Lepisosteus oculatus: one gene and its partner. The protein of the gene in region 1 purifies or fractionates together with the protein of each later gene. This does not show direct contact. Links are inferred from orthologs where the notes say so. Each region holds a gene or a part of one and is shown in the gene's direction. Other genes may lie near its edges.

What was found.
Region 2: the proteins of mapk8ip1a (region 1) and map2k7 purify together in Homo sapiens (affinity purification with western blotting; 3 studies listed by BioGRID and IntAct, with this or other methods). This does not show direct contact. The link is inferred for Lepisosteus oculatus from reciprocal best matches to the Homo sapiens genes MAPK8IP1 and MAP2K7.

The regions. Positions count from the first base shown.
Region 1 is NC_090716.1:6,358,687-6,368,345, forward strand, and holds the start of mapk8ip1a (C-Jun-amino-terminal kinase-interacting protein 1a), read left to right. Parts: upstream 1-6,039; 5' UTR 6,040-6,078; coding exon 6,079-6,323; intron 6,324-9,659. UniProt on the Homo sapiens protein: The JNK-interacting protein (JIP) group of scaffold proteins selectively mediates JNK signaling by aggregating specific components of the MAPK cascade to form a functional JNK signaling module. Required for JNK activation in response to excitotoxic stress.
Region 2 is NC_090706.1:13,861,562-13,870,896, reverse strand, and holds the start of map2k7 (dual specificity mitogen-activated protein kinase kinase 7), read left to right. Parts: upstream 1-5,687; 5' UTR 5,688-5,714; coding exon 5,715-5,904; intron 5,905-9,335. Other genes in the region: pkn1a (serine/threonine-protein kinase N1), read left to right, coding at 5-181, 746-808, 930-1,006, 1,099-1,241, 1,389-1,496, 1,825-1,905, 2,414-2,617. UniProt on the Homo sapiens protein: Dual specificity protein kinase which acts as an essential component of the MAP kinase signal transduction pathway. Essential component of the stress-activated protein kinase/c-Jun N-terminal kinase (SAP/JNK) signaling pathway.

The DNA.
Region 1 (9,659 bases):
TTTAATTAGAACACTTGAGGCCAATCATGTATAGAATTTCCAATGGTATAAAGTAATATGCTTTAATTTATACAGTACATGGGTGCCTTATCGGTGAACAACCCTCGATATTTATAAGTAGTTCTCGATATGTTTTGCAAGCTATATATATATAGTTTTTCAAATATATTTAACTTTTGAATCATTTCAGGCTATTCCATCAGATGTTTTGTAGATTTATGTGGCAGCTTTGAAAATGTAGCACATGGATGAGTTCTGGGGCTCTAAAAAAGTATTAAGAAACCCTTTAATTATGCCAGAAGACTTCTGGAATAGACCTACTCTGAATCTGTGATCTTGATTACTTTAGGGCAGTGGTTCTCAAACTTTTTGGACCAAGTACCACCCCCGATCAAACCAAAGCATCTAAGCACCAACTACAAGTCATCTTCTCATAGGAACCACAGAAAATCTCAATGACTAACATGAGCCCGTACACACATACTCACACACATATAATACGAGTTGCACTGAGCACTTAGATAATTTGGATCATACCGGCTTGCAGCCATTTTCCGATGCCTGATAACACTAGCAGTGCTGTCTGTGTCAGGTTCAGCAGCCGAGCTAGTGTCGGAGGCCAATGTATAATTGAGGTATTAATTTTCGATCAATTGTTCTGTAGGCGAATGTGGCACTGTTGGGAGAAATTGTTCCCAATTTCCCCTTAAAAGACTGTGACAGTTTGAGAACCACTGCTTTAGGGAAAGCAATGTTGAACTTGACATGATGGGACAGTGGGTCAGAGGTTTGTCTGCAATGGGGAAGAGAATAACCAGTGTTTGGTTTTGTATGTCTTAACACATATTAATGTTCCTTTTAAAAGAAACTGCTATTCTCCAAACTTTGGTTTCCTGTCAGGTACTTTGAAAAACTGAAGCTTTATTTCTCCGTAGAGTTTAAATTACAACTAACCTTAAGCCATAATGATCATAATGAATTCAGATCTCTTGCGTTAAATTGCTTTCTGCCGATCACCTGTTTTAGCTTGTTTTCAACAAATAGCAAAGAAAAAGCTTTTTGTCAAATGTTAATGTGTGGCTTTCAGATTTTGTTTGTTCATTCTTCGTTTTCTAAATTGTGAAATGTTTGTATCATAAATCTCATTTTTGTTTGTTTTAAGAGAGTTTGTAAAGTGTAAAATACTTTTATTCCTAAAATAAAAGCAGCTTCTATGAGTAATCAGCAACTGATTCCTGTCTGTATCTTATACAGCTCAGACTTAGCATAAGGTGGATGAGGAAAGTTTGTGAGGTACATACTGTATCGTATTTGATCAGTGTTTTGTTCATGAGGCCAAGTGTCTGTCAGTTTGGCCTTCTATGACCCGGTATTCCTGTATACTGATGTATATACAATATGTTCTTTAACAAATATAATATGATTAAAGAATACAAGAGATAAGATATACAATATCTCAGTTTTCTTACATGCTCCTTGTATGATGTGGTTAAATAGAAAGTAAAATAAAAGTTTAGATAAACAACATGTTTGTGCAAGTCAAATGGGGCATTGTCATTTTATAATAGTAAGATACTGTAGTTGAGTTCTAGTTGCATTACATAAGCAACTTTTGCTGTTTTACTGTGTGTAGTTTTATTTGGGGTGTGTTTAACAAAGCTTGATTACAGATTTGAATTGGAAAGCTTAGATTAGTTTCCAAAATTGTGATTGATCCATGGGTGCAGTTCCTACAGGGCTTTCAACAGAAATGTACAGTCAATACCTTTTTGCCTGTAATGTGTAGTGTTTCTCACTAGAGGTCTCCTTTTCATAATAAAGTTATGCAACAGCTTAATCAAAAAATGATTTTTAAAAACAATTATATCAGAGTGTGATGTCTTTATCTTATCTTATAATGGCTAAATGGCAGTATTTTAGTCTTTCTTATGAAAAGACAGTAAATTAGCTTTCTTGGACCAGGTCCTGCCAATTATGATCTCCAGTTTCATTTGCACAAGCTAAACAAAAAGGCATCACGTACACATTTGCTCTTAAAATTGAATAAGGCATGTGTGAGAAAAAGAAATGACACCTAGCACTTTAGATTTTGTCTGCAGCTACAGTACATGGAACTATTTCAGTAGGAGTGGTATTGTAGCGTATTACAGAAGGGTTTGTTTTTGCTCTGCTTCTTATTGATTCGTTATAGAACCAATTACCCCCAGCAATTTTCTTTATCCATATAATTCCCTTGGACAGTTTACAAAACTCAGGTTTTTGTTTCAGTTATTGGAAAGTCAACTTATTTTCTCTTGTAGCTCAAGTAGGGAGCTGCATCAGCAGGCATAGGCTGCAAAGGAACAAGTGCAGGCTTATTCCATGTTGAAAAGAGAAGAAAAGAATCGTTTCAGCTGTAGAGCCTTCTTCAGGTGTTATTTTCTCTTGTACTGTGTATTTTAATAAGGTGTCCATGGCTCCAATTAATTGCTCCGGGATCTGCTGTTCACGCAGAATGTTGCTCTGGTGGACTAAAGCAGCTGAAACGTTTATGGGAGGATCTGTGTGTAAGCACCGGTGAGCCGCTGTTCCGTACATGGCCTCAGGAGCTGCTCCGCTCACTTGAAAAGAGAGCACTTTACTGCATTATGCACCGATTCTAAAACATTTAGAAGAGGGCTCGGGGAAATTACCCTTCCTTCTGCAAGGTGCCGAAAGTCAAGCCAATTAATAATCCACAAAGGGACTGAGAGGAGTGGTATCTGTGAAAATCATGGGGAAGATTAAATTGCATCCTAGATGTTATTGATGTGCTCTTATGGTGTATTAGAAGTTTTGTAAAAAACAACAACATGGGGGTATCCACTGCTACCACTGGACTTGAACAGACCTAAAACCTTTAGGTATATGACTCCCTTGTGACTCTATTCTTTATAAATTGTTCTGCCTTGAATTGAATCACTATCAGTCCAATATCGTTCTGTACCTTGCCATGCCTTTGATGAGCAACAGTGTAAACAGTCTGGACAAGAACAGGATAAGTCCATTGACATCTGTTACTATGCATTAGTATCATCTTCTCACTTAGAAGCATGAATAAATACAGCAATATTCTACAATTGTCTTCTGTCAGCAACTGAAAACAGCAGTGAGATCTGTGAAAATCAGCTTTGCAATGAAGTATCAAAAAATATTGATACCCTTTATAACCGATTTTTAGCCTGACTTGATTGTTTAGATTGTTATCATAAATAGCATTCAATAGAAAAAATGCTGTCTCTAATTTTATGTGATAAGCAGAGTAAATATAAAACTGGGCACTTTGCAGCATACACCATACAGCTCTTTTCTTCTGTTATTTTCCAAAAATATGTTTTTTAGGGAAAGGCTGACATTAAAACAGATTGCATGAGTTTCCCAACTTGCAGGTCTGCGGGAGAAATAAGGACAAATTCATCTGGGCATTTTAAATTAATATTTTAAAAATTCCATTAGAATTTATCCTGAAATTAGGTTACTAATTCCTCTATATCTCATTAACGCTGCTTAAATTTATGCAAAAATGTCCGTCCTTTCATGTTGACTACAGTTATCCTGCAAATTGAAAGCTACCTGGATTATTCATCATCTAAAATTCAATTGGCTGTAATTATCTAAAGTGCCTCAGCAAAAATGTAGTATTTGGGAAGGACATGGCTTAAACTGTTAGAAGGAATCCATAAAATAATTCCTTGCTGTTGCTGTATATACTGTAGCAGTTATTATGCCAGTGATCCCAATGTACAATACATATAGGATGGGACCCACTTTCTCTTCATTGGATTCTAAAACAAAACTCCACATCGAAAGAGCCTCAGGCAAGAACTGAACATTGGAACCAAGTGCTTCTCTAGTTGAGAGTGCTGTCATGCAGCAGTCCTACTGTAACGGCCATGCCACCACACTTCTGTCAGTGGAGAAAACAGATTCTAAAAATAAGGCATTCCATAGGTATATACTGTATTCAGTGCTGAGAAAACATCAGATCAGCAGCTTTTATAGCATCTGTACATTCATCTCATGTGAAACTCTTCTGAGATACAGGTTATTTCCCGCAATTTATAAGTTTAGAATGACTTATGTTCAGTACATTTCACATCAAACAAATTATTAAAATGATGGCCTCCGTTTTGCTGTGCAAAGAAATGTTGTCATTCTTTTTCTGCACCTGGTTGTTGTTGGACCACCTGGATGATGATGACTTTTTTAAAGAATTTTGTAGGTTGGCGGAACAAATCTTGTCTTGAATTTGCTTAATACCTGTAGGAGAACAAATACTTTTTTTTTCAAATGTACCTTTCACCTAAGCTATTGCTTAGTGAAAATGCTTGTTTTAATGAAAATACATTTTACATGCTGAGCTGGTTTGCATTCACTCTTTTCCTTTTTCGCTTAAAAGGAAAGGTTATTAAAACACATGCTATATCTGCTGATATCTGGCATGTCAGCGGAATGACTTTTGTCGGACCAGACTGACGTATCTTTCTTGTGTTTCAGGCTGTTGTGTGTTTCTAAAGCCCAGCAGGTACTATTGTACAGTATACCACAGCATTTGTTTAATGTACCTTGTTCTTTAAAGAAAATGATCTTTCTGATATATAATTCAATTTATTGAACAGTCATTACTCATACAGTATCACATGATAATTGATTTGTAAACCATGAAATACAACATAAAGGGTGTATTAGTGCATTGGTGCATTCATTCAGGCCTGCTGCAATCATGTTATGAATAGATTCAGGGATCACAACTCACCAGTCACACCAGGAGGGGCGTTATGGACAAGCTCGGAGATATGAATGGGCTGTTTCCCTGGTTACAAAGCACAGTGCAGGGGTAAATAGGCCAATCAATGTGGGTAACTTGAAATGAAATATCAAATTAATCTGCAGTAACTGCACCCAGTTGACTTGAGCTCACTTATTAGTGGAGTGAGACAGCATGAATATTAAGAGATAGAAACCATTAATAGGTAATACACTACAAACTCTGTATAGGATAAAGGATAAGAAAGAAGTTTATGAAATGATTAAAATAACAACAGGGTCCAATTAATGAAAAGTAAAACAGGATATTTGGGATATTCCAGTAGAGGCTTAAGTAAAATAAAACTAGAAAGTTGTTCTAGCATTGAAACAGCAGAAGAGCCTTAAAAGATGGCTGATGCACTATTACTAAGTGCTGTTGCCAAGTGGGCTGGATGGGTCAAGTGAACTCCCCTCATTTGTAACGTGTTTTATGAACAGTATTTCACTCAGGTGATCACCAAGGAAGAAGTCAATAGAATGCCAGGTGGTGGAAGGACAACGTTCTTAATATTATTTCTTATCACATTCAGGATATAGGATATACATATGTGGAAAATGTGCATATTTGGATTGACAATAATAAAAAACAGGATACAGATAAGAGGCAAATGCTAAGATTTGGGCACACTAATTAATAGAGTACCACAGGGATCTATACTAGAACCACTGCTCTGATTCTGGGTATTTAATAAACTAGTCACGTTTGCAGGTTATACCAAAATAGGAGTCGCAAATAAAATTCAAAAAGCTTTAGATAAAAATTGCAGACTAGGAAAACACCTGACATATGATGTTAAATTGAGGGTGTTGCATGCAGATACCCCTAAACCTTAACTAGGTTTGAACAGAAAAGGCTTCAAAGAGACCTAGTGTATTCAGAGTCCTTAAAGGCACTTACATTGAACCACTTAAACACGTGGTAACTGTTCCGAATGACCTCGGCATTGTATTTTTTTTTTGACTTGGCTGCTACAATAGCAATATTCATTGCAACAAGAAAAAATGTATATACTGTAACCACTTTTTGGTTGACAACATCCAATTCTGACACCATTTCAAGTAACTAAAGTATTATTTAATATTTTTCAGAAGTTTAACTTGCCCTGCTGTGCACTCCATTGAATTAACGACGGATTTTGCATTTTAAGTTGATTTGTTTTCTGAGACGATGACGACAAAGACGATTCTCCTTGTTTTTCCGGTTAATATCAACGTACACAGGTCCGCTCCGCCTGTTTCTGGGGACCTGGAATGAGAAGCTGGCGCCTCGCCTCCCAATCTCTCTCTCTCTGTGTGTGTGTGTTGTTTCTCTCGCCTCTCCTCCTTAACTGGATTTCCATCGCAGCATCCCTGCTACTGGGCTACTACTTTCTCCAGGAGCGAACGAATGGATATATAATAATAGGGCAGAGAATGGCGGATAGAGAAAAAAGAAACCCGTCTCCAACTGGATCCCCTTTCTTGGGTTTGCACATCACCTCCTCGCCTAATTTCAGGTAATAGAGCTCAGGATAATCAAAGGGTACCGCAAACCCCTATCGAGCCTAAGGGCTTTTCGGATAACGAAGCTGGTGACGGATTGAAAACAGTGACAGGCTATAGCAGATAGATTGTTACTGCAGAAAGGGGATGCTCATGAATATACTGTAGTAGTGGTTGCTTCCGAGACGGAAAGTGCATTGTTTTTTTCCGTGCATCCCGTTATGTAAATTGAATCGATACAGAGAACCGGGGCAAGGCTGGCGGACGCACACAAATAGTTGCTGTTTACAAACACGAGTCTTTCTCATGTAAATTAAAGGGCGTAGTCCATTTTTATTCAGGTGAACAGATTGAAAACTCCCGTGATCTTGACGACACTGCGCGGAGGAAACAAAACAGATATCAAAGCTCTGTTTGTTGCTGTTAGAAGTTGGAAAGCGCTGCACGTTATTTTGTTACTGTTTTTGGTTTGGGCTTATTATTTTGCATCAAATCTCGAACACGAATGAACTCATTGATCATTTGGAATTGATGAGAATATTAGGCGAAAAGACTACTCGTGAAATCTAAATATCACCATTATTTACTCTTCACTAGAAATGTAAAATATAGATTTAACATACTATAAATATATTACGTATCTACTGTACCTATTTATCTAAATAGAGGCATCACACAGCTTTTCAGGTATGTGTGCAACTGGTTGACAGCAACAGTCATAGTGCTTGTGTGTGAAAAGTCGATACAGAGCGTGAATGGTTTGTTACTAGTTTGGTAGTAACTTTATAATTACCTGACCTTATAATCGAGAAATATGCATTGTATTTATTCAAGATATTAAGCAAATAAGAGTAAATCCGAACATGCATTATTCTGCTAAATACTTAAGCTCGGAGAGAGGTCGCTATTAGAACTTTGAATCTGTTGTCCATTTTATGGCATTCAAACCTCCTAAATCCAGTACATTACTACAGCCTTTGCACTTGTGCATAATTTTGCTTCAAGAACTTAAGGATGCTTTGATTGAATCTGTTATCTGCAGAAAGAAAACAACCTTGGAAACATGTTTCTGTTTCATAGCATTGTGGTTAAAAAATCACAGCAAACATTTCACTTTTCCATCAGCATAAACGTTATAGATCAGAAGCCTTTATGGTCTCTAAGGGTAACATGTTTCACCATTTTTATCAGGGTGCAGGATGTGTACATCTCTTTTAAAGGGGAAACAAGAAAATGCAGTGATGAGATCTGTCATGCACAGTGTGTGGGGTATGTGCAGTGGTTCGGCTGCTGCTGCCACAGAGTATACAGAGAAAAAATGATGAGATCTTGCTGTACAAAAATATGTTACAGTGACATATTCATATCTAGTGGGGTTTCAAAACTCAACAAATTAGGAAAGTATTTGTGCTGAACGTCAGAAACTGCTCCTGACAAGTATCTTTGCATCTGATTGAAGTGGATAAAAATGTGCACCAGCCAATATTTTCTTGCAGTGTGGGATGCTGTCCCATTGCAATTGCATACCAAGAATAAGATGCTGACATTAACAAGTAAACAATCATTGCACAGACTGTTGTGATTATTACGGTGACTAAAGTACATGACAAATGTATTGTTATACTGTGCACAATACTGAAAACTCAGTATTTATGTACTGAGTTTTCAACCTGTCAAAAATATTAACACACTGTAAAGGAATGTCCACACTTGCTTTATTTATGTACAGTATGTGTTTAACTTTCAAGAGACGTAATCTGTCACAGAACTAAGTCAGGATGCACTACAGGGACTGTCATTGCCTACATTATTCAGTAAATTCCATAAAATAATAATCTGTAAATCCCTTTTTTTGTTACGTTTAGCTTTCCTGTATTTCTGGGATAACCTTTAAAAATCCCCAGCACTTCACATGTTGGCTGGTTCCCAACAGAAAGACATCTGTTGACTTATTTTTTATTTACAGTCATTTGCAAGGGTTAGTTTCACAACATGTTATTGCAGTCGTTTAAAAAACTAGTGTGATATTTTTAATGCTATCTTCTGCTGAAGGCTCAATGGCCCTTATGTGACTTTTCCGGTGTACAGATTGCCTTCCATCAACAAATGAATGCATTAATGACTGAATAATGATAATAATAGAATTCTGTAATTTGCAGCAAATTAAATCTGACTGCCTGCATACTGAAAGTACCTGCTTAGTTGATTCAGTATGCTCTTCATGCATCTTTTAGTTCTTTTCAGAAATGTAATCTAAAATGTCAGTAATGTTGGAATTAGATAAACAAATCATTTTTAGCAGGACCTTTCCTTTGGTTTTCATGCTATTGAAAATGATTTAATTTCATCAGGGGCAACAGGAGGTTAGGTTCTAGACTTGTAACTGGAAGGTTGTGGGTTCCAATCCCAGCTGAGGCTCTGCTGTTGCACTCTTGAGCAAGGTAGTACTTCAACCAAATTGCTCCAGTTGCACCATACCCAGCTGTATAAATATGTGCAAATGCAGTTCAATTTGGATCAAACCATCAGCCAAATAAATTAATAATAACGAAGGAGAAAGTAGAAGAGGGGAAAGATTGTGAAATTTGGGAAACAAATCAAGTGTCATCTGAATGGTCAGTGCATACATACTGCATGCTCATACCTATCTCTCTGTTATCAGGCAGCCAGTCATTTTTAGTGATTATAATAAAAGTGATGCAGAAATAAGTCAATATAAATACAAATGGAGATGTTTAGTAGAGCTCACATAGTATAGTTGTGATTGCCACAGCATTATCCAAATTACCTCTAATTAAATAACAATTGAATGTTAACAGTTATAAATTATAAATACTATAATGTTATCCTGATATCCATGGAATACTATACTTTGCTAAAAGCTAGTCCTGTTATTCAATATAAGAGTTATGAATATAAGCTATAATATGAGCTAAATAAATATCAGAATTATGTTAAATATACTACAGTTTTGTCTTTGGCAAATCATACAGTACAGTATATCATACAAAAATCTATGATGATAATTCCCAGTGTTTATTGATTTTTTACTGACTTATTCATGCATGTAATATTGTGACATAAAACTCATATTACATCTTGATCAAGTATCCTGACCTCAGTTTCCCTAATTTCAAGTCCTTTGATTACAAATGCACAGTAAACAGCACTCCGGATTTGGTGTTTTGAGTTTGTAATTAAGGGAAATTGCCCATGATGTACAACCTTATTTCACATTTAGTTTTCCTAATTTAGAGCTGATTTAATGTCCAAGGCAGTATTTGTGTTCTGAAGCAAAGATGTTGTTTTTCATGAGAAAAACAAAATTGAATAAGATAAGAAGACTAATT
Region 2 (9,335 bases), on another chromosome or scaffold:
TCAGTTTGATGTGTGAGAAGAGGATATTTGAGACAGTGAACACCTCTCGTCACCCGTTCCTGGTGAACTTGTTTGCGTGTTTCCAGACGCCGGAACACGTGTGTTTTGTGATGGAGTACACTGCAGGGGGCGACCTCATGATGCACATTCACTCCGATGTGTTCACAGAGACGCGCGCTGTGTCAGTACATCCCGTTGTATGTGTCTGTCTGTGTCTCACTAGGCTCTTGTCTCTGTCTCTGTGTCTGTTTTGTGTGAGTGTCTGTGTCTCACTAGGCTCTTGTCTCTGTCCCTGTGTCTGTATTGTGTGAGTGTCTGTGTCTCACTAGGCTCTTGTCTCTGTCCCTGTGTCTGTGTTGTGTGGGTGTCTCTGTCCCTGTGTCTGTGTTGTGTGGGTGTCTCTGTCCCTGTGTCTGTGTTGTGTGGGTGTCTCTGGGTCTGTGTCTGTGTTGTGTGGGTGTGTGAGTGTCTCTGTGTCTATGTCTGTGTTGTGTGGGTGTTTCTCTGGGTCTGTATCTGGGTTGTGTGAGTGTGTGTGTTTCTCTGGGTCTATGTCTGGGTTCTGTGGGTGTCTCTGGGTCTGTGTCTGTGTTGTGTGGGTGTCTCTGGGTCTGTGTCTGGGTCGTGTGGGTGTCTCTGGGTCTGTGTCTGGGTTGTGTGAGTGTGTCTGGGTTGTATGGGTGTCTCTTGGTCTGCATCTGCGTTGTGTGGGTGTCTCTCACTGGGCTCTCTTCTTTGTCTGCAGGTTTTATGCGGCCTGTGTGGTTCTGGGGCTGCAGTTTCTGCACGATCACAAGATTGTGTACCGGTGAGTACCAAGATTCCCTCCCTGTTTCTCATTCATGTCACCAGACTGCTGTCAGCCTTCCTCTCCTCCTCCTCTCCCTCTGTCACCGCTGTCCCTCACGGTGTCTTCCTCTCCTCCTCAGGGACCTGAAGTTGGACAACTTGCTCTTGGACACGGAGGGCTATGTGAAGATTGCGGACTTCGGCCTGTGTAAAGAAGGTGTGTGCGCGCCTGGCCGTGTCGCTCGGTCCGACGGCCAGTGTGTCCCGTCAGCTGGCTTGTCCCTCACTGCTGTCCCCTCTCTGCGTCAGGGATGGGCTACGGCGACCGGACCAGTACGTTCTGCGGGACCCCGGAGTTCCTGGCCCCCGAAGTGCTGACTGACACGTCGTACACGCGGGCGGTGGACTGGTGGGGGCTGGGGGTGCTGGTGTACGAGATGCTGGTGGGCGAGGTGAGGGGCCGTTTGTTTCTGTCGTCACGGCATTCGAGTCCCTGTGCTCCTCTCTCTTTTTGTCGTTTTCCGCGTTATTAACGTACTGCGTGGAACTGTCGGAGCCTGTGGAATTACAACCGTACCGACACGCTGCCTGTGTTTCAGTCTCCTTTCCCAGGTGACGATGAGGAGGAGGTGTTCGACAGCATCGTTAATGATGAAGTCCGTTACCCACGATTCCTCTCCACCGAGGCCATTGGCATCATGAGACGGGTGAGGTTCTCCCCTCGGCCAATCACAGGCCGGCCTTGTGCCGTCAGCCACCTAGAAAAGGCAAATCACACACCAGCTCCTGCTGTCGTGTCTCTTATTAAATGAGAACCCATTAGAAGAACTTAACAAAAGGTCAGAGATGAGAAGACGCTGTTCAGCACACTGAGTTTGCTTGCCAGGGATTTGTCCCGGGATCTTATCCAGCTGTTTCTGTTATGGGCTTGAGCCACACAGCTGGACCTCCTCTTGGCCTGTGGGGGTTGGCCGTGGTCCACTCATGATTATTGTGTCGTCCCACTGATGCACTGTGGGCACTGTCTGTGTGCAGCTCCTGCGGAGGAACCCAGAGCGCAGACTGGGCTCCACTGAGAGGGATGCCGATGATGTGAAGAAGCAGCCCTTCTTCAGGGTAAGCGTCTCACTGTCTAGCTCTCTCTCATCATCCTTGTTCGCTGTCTGTAAGCTCTCCCTCATTCTGCCCTCTGGTGTCTAACCTCTCTCTATCTCCGGGTTTGTGTGTCCACTGTCTGGATCTCTCTGCTCTCTTCCCTCTCTGATCTTTATTCCTTATCTCGTCCTGGCTCCATCCATCTCCCAGGGGGTAGATTGGGAGGTGCTGTGTCTAACCAGTCTCTCGCTCTTTCAGGGGGTGGACTGGGAGATTCTGAGTAACCTGTCTCCTCTCTCAGGGGGTGGACTGGGAGGTGCTGAGTAACCTGTCTCTCTCTCTCAGGGGGTGGACTGGGAGGTGCTGTGTCTAACCTGTCTCTCTCTCTCAGAGGATGGACTGGGAGGTGCTGTGTCTAACCTGTCTCTCTCTCTCCGAGGATGGACTGGGAGGTGCTGTGTCTAACCTGTCTCTCTCTCCCAGGGGGTGGACTGGGAGGTGCTGTGTCTAACCTGTCTCTCTCTCCCAGGGGGTGGACTGGGAGGCGCTGCTCCAGCGGCAGGTGAAGCCGCCCTTCGTGCCTTCCATCGTGGGGAAGGAGGACGTCAGCAACTTCGACGAGGAGTTCACGACAGAGGCGCCCACCCTGACCCCACCCCGAGAGCCCCGCCCGCTCTCCCGCAAGGAGCAGGAGAGCTTCAAGGACTTTGACTACGTCTCCGACCTCTGCTAGCCCTGCTGCGCCTGGACAGAGGGGGCGCTGTCTGCCTGCCTGTCCGTCTCGGCGCTGCGACCGAGGGAGACTTTGGGCAGTGTGTCTGCCCCTGGACACCTGGACCCTGGACTGTTCCCAGAGCGCTCCCTCCTCTGCTTCCCTGCGCGCTGCCTTCGTCCCTCTCCCTCTCCGGACAAGAGGATGTGGATTAGGTCAGCGGACTCTCGGGAATGACATATTCCCGCGCGCAGGCCGAGCTGCAGAGAAGGGGAGAGGGAGAGGTGACGGGGTTCGAGCAGAGACCCAGCCCCGGTGCGGCAGCTCGTGTGGCATGGGTCCTCAGTGAAGGAGGGAGGAGGGGACTGAGCAGCACAAGGTGTGGTAGGGTGGTGGGCAGGCAGTGTGCCTTTTCCGCCTAAACACCGAGAGAGAGGAGGAGGAGCAAGAGACTTCCGGTTATACTGTGATAGAGGTGGTGAGGGGTGGGGCTGTAGCACCGACCGAAGCCTTAACGTTTCGAGAGCTGTCTTGCGGGGCTGGCATGAGTAGAGCGAGAGGTTTGCAGACTGAAGCCTGCAGCGCTGGAGGAACGAGTCGCTCCAATTATATTTTTAAAATGCTTTTAGTACGTGTGTGTGTGTGAACAGGGGGGGGATCGAGCAGAGCGGATGAGCAGGACATGAAGGAGACACAACCAGCCGGGATCGGGAGTGGTCACTCCAGACCCGATTCTGAAGGTCCGGTTCATGTGGAGAAGGAGTGGTCACTCCAGACCCGATTCTGAAGGTCCGGTTCATGTGGAGAAGGAGTGGTCACTCCAGACCCGATTCTGAAGGTCCGGTTCATGTGGAGTAGAAGTGGTCACTCCAGACCCGATTCTGAAGGTCCGGATCATGTGGAGTAGAAGTGGTCACTCCAGACCCGATTCTGAAGGTCCGGATCATGTGGAGAAGGAGTGGTCACTCCAGACCCGATTCTGAAGGTCCGGATCATGTGGAGAAGGAGTGGTCACTCCAGACCCGATTCTGAAGGTCCGGTTCATGTGGAGAAGGAGTGGTCACTCCAGACCCGATTCTGAAGGTCCGGTTCGCGTGGAGTAGAAGTGGTCACTCCAGACCCGATTTTGAAGGTCCGGTTCGCGTGGAGTAGAAGTGGTCACTCCAGACCCGATTTTGAAGGTCCGGTTCGCGTGGAGAAGGAGTGGTCACTCCAGACCCGATTCTGAAGGTCCGGATCATATGGAGAAGGAGTGGTCACTCCAGACCCGATTCTGAAGGTCCGGTTCATGTGGAGAAGGAGTGGTCACTCCAGACCCGATTCTGAAGGTCCGGATCATATGGAGAAGGAGTGGTCACTCCAGACCCGATTCTGAAGGTCCGGATCATATGGAGAAGGAGTGGTCACTCCAGACCCGATTCTGAGGGTCCGGTTCATGTGGAGTAGAAGTGGTCACTCCAGACCCGATTCTGAAGGTCCGGATCATGTGGAGAAGGAGTGGTCACTCCAGACCTGGTTCTTGTGGAGCTTGTGAAGGTTTGAAAAGTTCTGTTATTATTTTACAGTAAGTGAAATTTTAGTTTCAGGATTTAAAATAATATTAATGATGATATTAACAAAGTTGTGTAAATTATACCGAGTACATTATGCAGAAAAAAAACATTGTGGAAGTAGTGAAGGACTGAATGATTAAATTTTTATTTTTACTCTTAATTTTCCTGTTTAATGTATCTTTTTTATAAAGGGCTTTTCTAACACAAGTGTGTTTAGTGTCACTGGGAAAACATACAGCAAGCAGTCTCAGGAATCTCTCTCAGGTGACCCAAAGATCCATGTCACCCCAAAATCAGCATTGTACCAAATTGTCCCCCAATAATGGGATCTTATTGAAACCCTTCCAATAGGAAGTCTCCTGTTTCCTGGACTGGTTTCATTTAACCTTGGCCAGCTGTGCAGTTCATGTGGAGTTTTTACAGAAGGTTCCTGCAGGATTTACTCAGGTTTCACAGAGGATTCAGGCCGGATTCATGCAGGGTTCACAGGGGATTCAGGCCGGATTCATGCAGGGTTCACAGAGGATTCAGGCCGGATTTATGGAGGGGTTCACAGAGGATTCAGGCTGGATTCATGCAGGGTTCACAGAGGATTCAGGCTGGATTCATGCAGGGTTCACAGAGGATTCAGGCCGGAGTTACGTAAGGTGCAAAGAATTTATGCAGGGTTCACAAAGAGCACATACAGGATTTACGCAGGATTCACACAGGCTTTACAAAGCATTTACACAAGATACACAAGGGGATTGCAGGATTTACCAGGTTTCAAGCTAGATATATGCAGGGTTCAGAGAGGGTTCATGTTGTATTTACACAGAAATTACACGGGGTTCACAGTATTTACACAGGGTTCATGTAGTATTTACACGGGAATTACAGAGGGTTCACAGTATTTACACAGGGTTCATGTAGTTACACGGGAATTACAGAGGGTTCACAGTATTTACAGAGGGTTCACACAGGATTTACTCAGGGTTCACAGGAGATTCAGGCAGGATTACTCAGGGTTCACAGGGGATTCACATGGGACTTACACAATTCATAAAGGGTTCATGCAGGATTTGTGCAGTATTCACAGAAGGCTGGTTCCACAGTCTCTAGTCTGTATTCTCTCTCCTCTCACACATACTGTCCACAGTCTCCTGTCTGTATCTCTCCTCTCACACATACTGTCCACAGCCTCTGTGGAGTGACATCTTTCCCCATAATTCTGAAAAAAATTCACCCATGATACAACAGCACTAATGATAATGATTAGAGATACAATGTGTTCTATGATTATACTCTGAAAATAAAATTCTACAAAATATGTTGATTTGTCAGTCCTCCAGGACCACGTGAGGCGCTCTAACACGGCATATTACTCTTATTTTAAACAATTACAAAAAGTCCAAATACAGTGTTTGTCTCCACAATGGTAGAGTGCATTCCTCTCATAATGTCAGTATCATTGTATTTATTGTCATCATTATTATGAGGGTTGTCTCTGTCGGTTCGTAAATGCTACACTGTCTGGATATCTATGGCACCGGATAGTTGGTAGTGTAGTCATCCACTATCCCAGCATGCCACTTAGGGAGAGTCTGTGGAGAGATTGTGCGCACTCGGTGGTACCTCTCAGTTTTTCCAAAATGTCGTCGTTGGAGCAGAGACTCTCCCGAATCGAGGAGAAACTAAAACAGGAGAATAAAGAAGCGCGAAGGCGCATCGACCTCAACATCGATATGAGCCCGCAGCGTGCCCGACCCCGACCCAGTGAGTCTTGGAGCCGGTAGAGCCGGGAGCGGTGGTGGGGGTCGGCAGGAATTTGGGACAGGGACGGGGAGAGGGAGGGGAACGAGGAGGAGGGGAGATCGAAAATCTGTAGACATTTCTACACAAACCGCAGCGCCCGCCGGACCCCGGGTGCCGGACGGGTCCGGTATTCGGGACCTGAAGCGGACACGAGTGAAGTTCCTCTCCGGTTTGCGGGTCTGGACTCGGACCTGCAGGCCGCGGCTCTGCCTGGTCGTCCAGTCCCGTCGCTTTCCGGCGCCGCTGTCCGGTTTCTTGTTTTTTGTTTTTCAGTTTCATTTCATTTTCGTGCTTAGTGGTTTAAAATGTGACCAAGGAAGCGGCAGGGCGGCCCTGTCGCCTCCTGTAAACACCGCAGCCGTGACGGGACCGCCGTGGCGCGACCTTGTGACGGGTTAAGTTACGTTGCAGCTTCTGTCTTGGACTTGAGCACAAAGCTCAGCAAGACGTGTGAAAACATCCGTACGGGTGTCAGCTCCTGTCTCGCAGGCGTGTTTGAGAAGGTCTGTAGGTGGAGGAGCTGTCTTCACTCCGCAGAAGAGTGCCGGGATTGTAAACCCGTGTGTTTGGATTGGCTTGCGTTTGTCGGTCATCTGAAATAGAAAGTAGTCATTCGGCACGTTAAACGTGGTTGTCTGTCTGACAGTGGCATAGTTTACTGATATGCACAGAGCAGGACAGGGAGAGACAGGAGACAGGACAGGATCCCTCAGTTCTACATGTGCAATAGGACAGGAGACCAAGGAAGTAACAGAATCCTTCAGTGAGAAACACACAGTAGGACAGTAGACACTGGAGCTAAAACACTGACACCATAATTATAGATGAACACACCGAAGGAGTTGTTTCTTCTATCCCGCCTGCTGGGTTTGTTGATTGTAGAAACAGCATTTACTCGTGGGGTCACTGCGAGAGTAGCTGTTTGTGTGCAAGTGATGCAAAGCGGTGCACACGGCGATTACAACTTTGTATGCTGTGGTTTGCAGTGTGCATAGCTGTCTGTGGATATACAGTGTGTATATTTCATTATAACTGTGTGTAGCAGTGTACATTATGCACAGCTGGTTATAGCAGAGTGGACAGTGTGTGGAAGTGGACAGTGTATACGGCTGGTTATAGCAGACTGGACAGTGTGTGGAAGTGGACAGTGTATACGGCTGGTTATAGCAGACTGGACAGTGTGTGGAAGTGGACAGTGTATACGGCTGGACAGTGTGTATAGCTGGTTATAGCAGACTGGACAGTGTGTGGAAGTGGACAGTGTATACAGCTGGTTATAGCAGACTGGACAGTGTGTGGAAGTGGACAGTGTACGGCTGGTTATAGCAGAGTGGACAGTGTGTGGAAGTGGACAGTGTATACGACTGGTTATAGCAGAGTGGACAGTGTGTGGAAGTGGACAGTGTATACAGCTGGTTATAGCAGAGTGGACAGTGTGTGGAAGTGGACAGTGTATACGGCTGGTTATAGCAGAGTGGACAGTGTGTGGAAGTGGACAGTGTATACGGCTGGTTATAGCAGACTGGACAGTGTGTGGAAGTGGACAGTGTATACGGCTGGTTATAGCAGAGTGGACAGTGTGTATAACTGGTTATAGCAGAGTGGACAGTTGGTATGGCTGGTTATAGCAGAGTGGACAGCGTGTACAGAATTGGATAGTGTACGGCTGGTTAAAGCACTGGACAGTGTGTATAGAAGTGGACTTTGTACAGCTGGTTATAGCAGTGAGGACAGCTGGTTATAGCACAGTGGACAGTGAGGGTGGGAGTGGACAGTGAGTACAGCTGGTTATAGCACAGTGGACAGTGAGGGTGGGAGTGGACAGTGTGTACAGCTGGTTATAGCAGTGCAGTCTCTAAGTATTTGGACAATTTTGGTTGTTTTGGCTCTGTACTCCAGCACATTGGATTTGAAATGAAACAATGACTATGAGGTTAAAGTGCAGAATGTCAGCTTTAATTCGAGGGTATTTACGTCTATATTGGGTGAACCATATAGGAATCACAGCCCTTTTTATACATAGTCCTCCCATTTCAAGGGGTTTAAATGTAATTTGACACATTAACATAATCTTAAATAAAATGGTCATGTTTAGTACTTTGTGGCAAGTCCTTTGCAGTTGATGATTGCCTGAAGTCTGCCATCCGTAGACATCACCAGAAGCTGGGTAACTTCCCTGGTGATGCTCTGCCAGGCCTGTAATGCAGCCATTTTCAGTTCCTGCTTGTTTCGGGGGCTTTTTGCCTTCAGTCTTGTCTTCAGTAAGTGAAATGCATGCTCAGTGGGATTCAGGTTGGGTCATTGACTTGGCCAGTCAACAACGTTCCACTTCTTGACCCTGAAAAGCCCCATAGTTGCTTTGGCAGTATGTTTGGGGTCGCTGTCCTGCTGCAAGGTGAAGTGCCGTCCAATGAGTTTTGTGCCATTTGGTTGGATTTGAGCAGATAAGATGCTTCTGTACACTTCAGAATTCATCCTGCTGCTGCTGTTGGCTCACTTGTCTTTATTGGTGATGTGACTGCCAGTTCTACTGGCAGCCATACATGCCCAAGCCAAGACACTACCTCCACCATGTTCCACAGTGGTAGATCCTGGAGAGTGTTCTCGATCTGTTCAGCAGTCGAAAAGGGGTTTTTCTTCACGATTGACAGTATTTTTCTGTCATCCACTACTGTGGTCTTCCGTGGTCTACCAGGTCGTTTGCTGTTGCTAAGCTCACCAGTGCGTTCTTGCTTCCTAACAATGTACCAGACAGTTGATTTTGACACACCTAATGTTTTGGCTACGTCTCTGATTGGTTTATTCTGACGTTTCAGCCTCATGATGGCCTGTTTTTACTGGCATTGACACTTCTGTGGTCCTCATGTTGAGAGACCACAGCAACAGACTCCGGATGCAAATGCCACGTCTAGAATCAACTCGAGACCTTTTGTGCATGAACTAACGATGCAACAACACACAGAAACTGAGCAGCCACTTGTCTAATTACTTTTGATCCCTTGAAATGGGAGGACTATGTATAAAAAGGGCTGTGATTCCTATATGGTTCACCCAATATAGACGTAAACACCCTTGAATTAAGGCTGACATTCTGCACTTTAACCTCATAGTCATTGTTTCATTTCAAATCCAATGTGCTGGAGTACAGAGCCAAAACAACCAAAATTGGGTCACTGTCCAAATACTTAGGGACTGCACTGTAGCTGTGTGCACAGTGTGTGTGGGAGTGGACAGTGTGAACAGCTGGTTATAGCAGAGTGGACAGTGTGTGTGGAAGTGGACAGTGTGTCCAGCTGGTTATAGCAGAGTGGACATTATGTACAGCTGGTTTTAGCAGTGTGCACAGTAATATGTGTACAGTTGTGCAGCAGTGTGCACAGCAATGTGTGCGG